Linked DNA regions of Macaca fascicularis. The protein of the gene in region 1 purifies or fractionates together with the protein of each later gene. This does not show direct contact. Links are inferred from orthologs where the notes say so. Each region holds a gene or a part of one and is shown in the gene's direction. Other genes may lie near its edges.

Region 1 (3,887 bases):
GGTTGCCTGTGGTGGTTATTGCAAAGAAAAATGCATTGTCCCTTTAACTTCCTCTTTTTCTCTTTAATTGCAGGACATTTTGGCGCAAGTCCTACAGATTTTATTAAAGTCAAAGTTACTGGTAGGTTTGTGCACTTTCTATCTTATGCTAGAAGCAAGCCTTTTCCTGAGATTATATAGTAACACTTTTTTTCTTACAGGTCTTGGAAGATGAAAATGCAAATGTTGATGAAGTGGAATTAAAGCCAGATACCTTAATAAAATTATATCTTGGTTATAAAAAGTAAGAAAAATCTAATAAATAGATGGCCCTAGACCATAGACGTGTCCCCCGGGAGCCCTAGCACAGATCTCAGTATTGTTGTGAACCGAGGGAGACGGGGACTCAGTATGAAGCGACAGGCACTAGGCTGGGAGTGTGAGGTAGGCCTTCGATTCCATTCAGCAAGCCTGATGTTTCTCCAACTCTGAGCTACTGGGTTTTTTGTTTATTTATTTGGCACGTAAGTCTCCTTAAATGGCTCATCAGGAAAGTTTGGACCTTTATGTCCAAGTGGCTTGATTTTATTTCACTTGACAAAATTTGGGAGAGCAGATTAAGGACCTGGATTTTCTGTAATGTGGATGTCCCTGTTAATGGCCAAGTAGGAAACTACGCTGTGATCGGACTCTGCCCAGTGCTGGGTACAGGCGTTCTCACATAGAGCTCACAGAAATCAGCGCTCCCCTCTGTCTGGGGAAGCAGGGGCACTGCTTAAAGGTTGACAAATAGAAAGCAGCCTTCATTGCCTACCTTTTAACATGATAGTGATCGGTTTCCTCCATTTTCTTGATAGTAAGAAATTAAGGGTTAACATCAATGTGCCAATGAAAACCGAACAGAAGCAGGAACAAGAAACCACACACAAAAATATCGAGGAAGACCGCAAACTACTGATTCAGGTGACTTCCTGTATGCCTGTGCCGGGTGTGCGGTCCCTCACGCAGGGATGGCTCGCAAGGACGGGCCGTGGGGGAGCGGGGCTGACTCAGGAGTGATTGCCAGATGAATGGCTCTGTGATGGCAGAAGGTGGCAAGGCCGAGAGCCAGGGCCTTGTTATCTGAATTAGTCCTTTATGTCACCAGGCAGAACAGGGCAGTCCTCTTGCTCTCCATGTTGGAAAGCAGACATTGTGGCAGGCCCAGCTGAAACGAGGGGGAAGGAGAGTGCTTCAGCGGGGAGGATGGGCAGCTTCCGAGGCCTTGACTTAATTTTGTCTCCTTTTTTTAATGCTTTATGGTTGAGTTAAATTATTGAGGTCACATTGCTCAAAAGACCAAAACGTAATGTTTGCCACGTTAGAGTTGAAACATAGGCGAGTACAATTGGTTGCCTCTCCCGTCTCACCGGCAGGACGCTTGTTGCCCGTTAGGAAATGGTGATCCTGTGCGTAGCATTGGCAGCCTCTGTGCGGCTTGCCCTTAACTGTCAATACTAAGTTGTTAACAGCTCTAAATGCACCTCTTTTTCCTTATCTGGTTGCATAGGCGGCCATCGTGAGAATCATGAAGATGAGGAAGGTTCTGAAACACCAGCAGTTACTTGGCGAGGTCCTCACTCAGCTGTCCTCCAGGTTCAAACCTCGGGTCCCTGTGATCAAGGTACAGGACTTACATAGCAGTCACATTCCTTCCTTAATTTAGAAGATAAAAGATGTAGCAAAAAGTGGATGGATTGCTGTAGCATGAAGAAGAAGGGAGCTGGCTTCTTTGTATGTAGTAGATTTCTATAAAAGAAAGCTTTAGTGTAACGCTATTGAAACACACGCACAAAGAAGTGCACAGATGATGAAGTGGCAGCTTGATGACTTTCACAGTCGATAAACTGTGTAACCGGCACCCAGGTAAGAATTAAAACATGACCAGCATCCCGGAAGCCCACCCATCCCAGCTAATACCTGTGGTGCCATAGAAAATCACTGTCATGTCTTCTGACACCATAAAGCAGTTTTGCCTGCTTATGCGTGATACATAGACAGATTCTAGAGCACATGCTCCCGTGCCTGGTAAGAATTTTCTCAGCAGTATCTTTGGGAGATTCATTGCGTTGCGGTATCGAGAAGCACTGGATCGTTTTTGTGACTCTTGTGGGTGTTCTGTTATGGGAACACACCTTCCTTTGTGTAGCCTACTGTTGACATTTTGCTTATTTCTGATTGGGAAGCAGGACTTTCCTTTTCCGAAACCACTTGGGTAAGGCACAGCCAGTGGGGAGCCAGGTGACTCCCTCAACAGGCAGAAGGCCCAGTGTCCCTCCTGGGTTACATTTGGCACAGGTGCCAGTTCGTTCATGGCTGTTCAGGGGGTTCTCCACGGTCCCCTGTTGCCTGTTCATGGCCTCTTCTTGTGAGACTGAGTCCTGCCTCAGAGGCAAGCAGACTTTGGTGGTAGAAAGAGACTGGCCCATGGGGCTCGCAGAGCACCCGGCTCCAGTTCCTAGGGTGGGTGCAGGAGGGACTTGGAGTCCCCCTCAGCAAGTGTCAAGGAAATGGAAATTAAACGAACTCCATGCACAACGGCTTAGCTGCCCAGGAAGTGAAACTATGCTAAGAGATCTGGGGCGGGGGGCACTGCTCCCCACCGAGCTCCACATGGGGAGATCTGTGGTGGGGGCAACCTCTCTCTGTTCTGATGCTAATTTGTGTTTTTCTTCTCTTTCACTACCTCTTCCTTTTTAAAAATAACACCCAGAAATGCATTGACATTCTAATTGAGAAAGAGTATTTGGAGCGAGTTGATGGTGAAAAGGACACCTACAGTTACTTGGCTTAACCCTTCTGGAAGGGTCTGACTGTGTGACCCGCGGCAAATAGTTCACGTTGGAAAGAATGAAAACAACTCAAGTTCATAGCAGCCAGCCTGCCGCCATTGGACCTCCCTTTTTAAAACGGAGACCAAGACTCCCATCAGCTTGTCTCGGATTTACATCGGAACTGCTCAGGATTGATACATTTCAAGTCTGTAAATACGGACACCAACGCCATTTACCCTAATTTAAGAACAGCGGGGACTGACCCTCCATGCCGAGGGCTGCATGCTACCGCATCTACGTCAATACATGGGCTCCCCGATTCGCAGCTGTCGCCTTGGCAGCACTTGTCACGTTGGCAGCACTTTGAGAGCAAGTGTGAATGGACCCACATGTAATCTGCTATGAAAACCATTTGTATAGTGTGTTTCATTTTTTAATGTGTGAAAATAAAGAAAATTAAAGGATTTCTGTACAAGTCGCATTTGGTTTTGTTTTAAGTTTTACTAATTTCTATATGTAAATAAAAGATATAATGATTGTGCAAATTTATATTCCTAGTGTCTTCCTGTAGTTTAAAAGGGCTGTATTCTTTGGATTGAAAATTTTTTAAGATCTTAAAATTTTAAGCCCCGATGTAATCCTTTAAAAAAAATCTTGCTTATTTTTGTGACTTCTGTGGTGACTTGAATGCACTGTGTCACTGGATTCAATGAGAGTCGCTGACCACACATTGGTTCTCTTTGACACTTGTAAGGACTAAATGAGTTACCCTGACAGCCTATGTGTGAAACAGTATCCTCCTTTTTGCAGGTGGGGAAACTGAGGCCAGATGAGGGAAGATGCCTCTAGTGAGTAGAGGAGGTAGGACCGAAGGTGAGTGGTGGGCTCCAGGATCCCCGGTCGCCACCAGCCTCTCCTGCGTGGAGAGCACAGGCACGGGACACAGCAGAGCCCGCTCGGCCACGCTTCTGTTCCAGTCGTGGGCTCGGGACACGGCAGAGCCCACTCGGCCACGCTTCTGTTCCGGTCGTGGGCTCGGGACACGGCAGAGCCCGCTCGGCCACGCTTCTGTTCCGGTCGTGGGCTCGGGACACG
Region 2 (3,652 bases), on another chromosome or scaffold:
AAGGTGGCTCACAACTGGTGTTGGAAAGTGCTGAAGAGCAGATTTCATACTGAGAGTGGAAACGAAATTATGAAGAGCTTAGATGTGCATGCCTGAATTGTTTTTGAGCTGCTTTCAGTGCAATACTGATATTTGTATTTTACCTATTACAGCTGTTGAGTGGGATGTCATGGCCAGCTCCTCAGACAGTGAAGATGACAGTTTCATGGCTGTGGACCAGGAAGAAACTGTGCTGGAAGGGACAATGGAGCAAGATGAGGAGCCCCACCCAGTATTGGAGGCTGACGAGACTAGACATAATAGGTCCATGTCGGAGCTGCCAGAAGAGGTTTTGGAGTATATCCTGTCCTTTCTGTCACCATATCAGGAACACAAAACTGCGGCCCTTGTCTGCAAACAGTGGTATCGACTTATCAAAGGTACTGTGGATAGGAGAAAGGTTTATTTATTGATTTCAAATTTCATTGATTTATTTTTAGACTCCAGATTTAGTTTTTTTCCTCCCTTAAATGTATTATGGTTATAAAATCTGGTATTAGACGATACTACATTTTCTTTTTTTTCTTACCCTGGTTAGTTCAATGAACAGCTTGAATACTAAAGTATCTAATCCCATTTGCATTTTTTAAAATGAGGATTCTTTTTAAAAGCTTCATATTCTTAGAGTTGATCTGGTTAATCGTATTGTTCTTTTTTTTTTTTTTTTTTTTTTTTTTTTTTTTTTGAGACAGAGTCTCGCTCTGTCGCCCAGGCTGGAATGCAGTGGTGTAATCTTGGCTCACAGCAAGCTCCCCCTCCCGGGTTCATGCCATTCTCCTGCCTCAGCCTCTGGAGTAGCTGGGTCTTCAGGCGCCCATTACCACGCCCGGCTAATTTTTTGTATTTTTAGTAGAGATGGGGTTTCACTGTGATAGCCAGGATGGTCTCGATCTCCTGATCCATCCGCCTCAGCCTCCCAAGTGAATTAATAGTATTGTTCTTGAATGGGCAAAATAGAAATGGATATGGGATAATAGTAATAGCCAATGTGAGCATAGCTTTTGTCATGTGTCAAGCACTATTGTAACTGCTTTACATTCACATAGCAAACTATGACTAGAACATACTGCATTTTATAGATGACAGAACTGAGTGAGGCACAGTTAACTTATTTACATGGGTAGTAAATACAGGATTAAAGATTCACATTCAGGCAATCTGGCTTTAGAGTCCATGCTCTGATTAAGGCTGCATATTGTCTCTGAGTAGCTACTTTTAGCAACTGTGCTTTCTTGAAAGCATTTGTCATTTGATTTTATCTCTAAACAGCAAAGACCCTATGTACATCTTTTACTTTTTAAAATATGTTTCTTGGCCGGGCGCAGTGGCTCACTCCTGTAATCCCAGCACTTTGTGAGGCTGAGTCAGGCGGATCACCTGAGGTCAGGAGTTCGAGACCAGCCAGGCCAACAAGGTGAAACCTTGTCTCTACTGAAAATACAAAAATTAGCTGGACGTGGTGGTGGGTGCCTATAATCCCAGCTACTGGGGAGGCTGAGGCAGGAGAATTGCTTGAACCCAGGAGGTGGAGGTTGCAGTGAGCCGAGATCACCCACTGGACTCCAGCCTGGGCGACCGAGCAAGACTCTGGTCCTTTTTTCATCCTTTTCCTAATCAAGATTTCAACTTTTTGCTAAATGTTTAGGTTGCTAGACATGCTGTATTTTTAATTAGCAGAAAGTAGTTAGTGGCTTCATTGCATCTTAAGGGGAAAGGGCCTGCTTTTTGTTTGAAGATGATCAGTCAAGTTGAGTAATTTTTGATCAAGCGAGGGTTGTCTCGATGTGTTCTTTCCTGGGGGAACAAGACAGCCAGAGATATAACAGAGAACAATCTTTAGATCAGAATCAATCAGTTTTAAAATATTTTCCTTGCATCAAGGTGGTTCTCATGGGGAGGGAAGTCCTTGTCAACTCCCAAAGTCCACCTAGAGGGCTAACAGCCAGCTATTGAAACTGCTCTATGGGCCCTGTGCTTATTTGATTATAACTGCTAATACTGGCACACACAGCCTGCTTCTATATTCTGAGTTGACGAGCTCTTCAGGAGAGATTGGCTCCCTGCACTGTGGAAATACATGCTTTCACTTCTCAAATAAAGGGAGGAAAACCACAGGTAAGGGACTGTGATTTAATCAAATATATGAATTTATCCTAGGTTTTCTTTGGCAGTCTTATTTTGGTTTTCTTTTCTTTTTTCTTTTCTCTTCTCTCTTCTTCTCCCTATCTTATCCTATCCTATCCTTTTCTTTTCTTTTTTCTTTCCTTTTCTTTCTTTTTTTATTTTTTTAAGAAAAGAACCCTACCCTAGTACTCACAGTCTTAAATCGATCTTTCTGGCAGAAGTCTCTGATGAGATAGTTTTGTTTCTTTGTTTTTAATTTTAATAGACTTTTTTTTTTTTTAAGAGCACTTTTAGGTTCACAGCAAAATTCAGCAGGAGAAACAGATTCCTCTGAGCGGGCACAGTGGTTCATGCCTGTATTCCCAGCACTCTGGGAGGCCAATGTGGGCGGATCACTTGAGATCAGGAGTTCAAGACCAGCCTGCCAACATGGTGAAACCTCATCTCTACTAAAAATACAAAAATTAGCTGGGCATGGTGGTGGGTGCTTGTAGTCCCAGCTACTTGGGAGGCTGAGACAGCAGAATTGTTCGAACCTGGGAGGCAGAGGTTGCAGTGTGCCAAGATCGAGCCACTGCACTCGAGTCTGGATGACGGAGTGAGATTCCATCTCAAAAAAAAAAAAAGAAACAAAACCAATTTCTCATTTACCCCCTATCCTGACACATGTGTAGCCTCTCCCATTATCAGCATCCCTCACCAGAGTGGTACATGTGTTACAATTGATGAACCTATACTGAAACATTGTTATTATCCCAAAGTCCATAGTTTACATTAATGTTCATGCTTGGTGTTATGTATTCTATGGGTTTGGATGAATGTATAATGACACATATCCACTGTTATAATATCATAATAGCTTCACTGCCCTAAAAATCCTGTATACTCTCCCTCTTTATCCTTTCCTTCCACCAACCTCTGGCAATCACTGATTTTTTTACTGTCTCCATAGTTTTGCCTTTTCTAGATGGTCATATAGTTGGAATCATATAGTATATAGCCTTTTCTGATTGGTTTCTTTCACTTAGTAATATTTGCATTTAAGTTTCCTCTTTTTTTTTTTTGGAGACAGGGTCTTGCTTTGTTGCCCAGGCTGGAGTGCATTGGCGTGATTTTGGCTAACTGCAACCTCCACCTCCTGGGCTCAAGTGATCCTCCCATCTCAGCCACTGGAATAGCTGGGACCACAGGTGTGCACCACCATGCCTGTGTAATTAAAAAAAAAATTTTATAGAGATAGGATCTTGCTGTTCCCCAGGCTAGTCTCAAACTCCTGAGCTCCAGTGATTTCCTGCCTCAGCTTCCAAAAGTGCTGGGATTATAGGCGTGAGCCGCCGTTCCCGGCTTCCTCCATTTCTTTTCATGATTTCTTTTTTTGTTAGTGCTGAGTAATATTTCATTGTCTAGATGCACCACAGTTTGTTTACCCATTCAGTTACTGAAAGGGCATCTTGGTTGCTTCCAAGGTTTGACAATTATGAATAAAGCT

What was found. The genes of interacting proteins can lie anywhere in the genome.
Region 2: the proteins of CUL1 (region 1) and FBXO42 purify together in Homo sapiens (affinity purification with mass spectrometry; 9 studies listed by BioGRID and IntAct, counting the BioPlex papers as one, with this or other methods). This does not show direct contact. The link is inferred for Macaca fascicularis from reciprocal best matches to the Homo sapiens genes CUL1 and FBXO42.

Annotation. Positions count from the first base shown.
Region 1 is NC_088377.1:190,452,827-190,456,713, forward strand, and holds the end of CUL1 (cullin-1), read left to right. Parts: intron 1-73; coding exon 74-121; intron 122-200; coding exon 201-283; intron 284-836; coding exon 837-942; intron 943-1,528; coding exon 1,529-1,642; intron 1,643-2,731; coding exon 2,732-2,812; 3' UTR 2,813-3,337; downstream 3,338-3,887. UniProt on the Homo sapiens protein: Core component of multiple cullin-RING-based SCF (SKP1-CUL1-F-box protein) E3 ubiquitin-protein ligase complexes, which mediate the ubiquitination of proteins involved in cell cycle progression, signal transduction and transcription.
Region 2 is NC_088375.1:218,794,346-218,797,997, forward strand, and holds part of FBXO42 (F-box only protein 42), read left to right. Parts: intron 1-152; 5' UTR 153-169; coding exon 170-419; intron 420-3,652. UniProt on the Homo sapiens protein: Substrate-recognition component of some SCF (SKP1-CUL1-F-box protein)-type E3 ubiquitin ligase complex. Specifically recognizes p53/TP53, promoting its ubiquitination and degradation.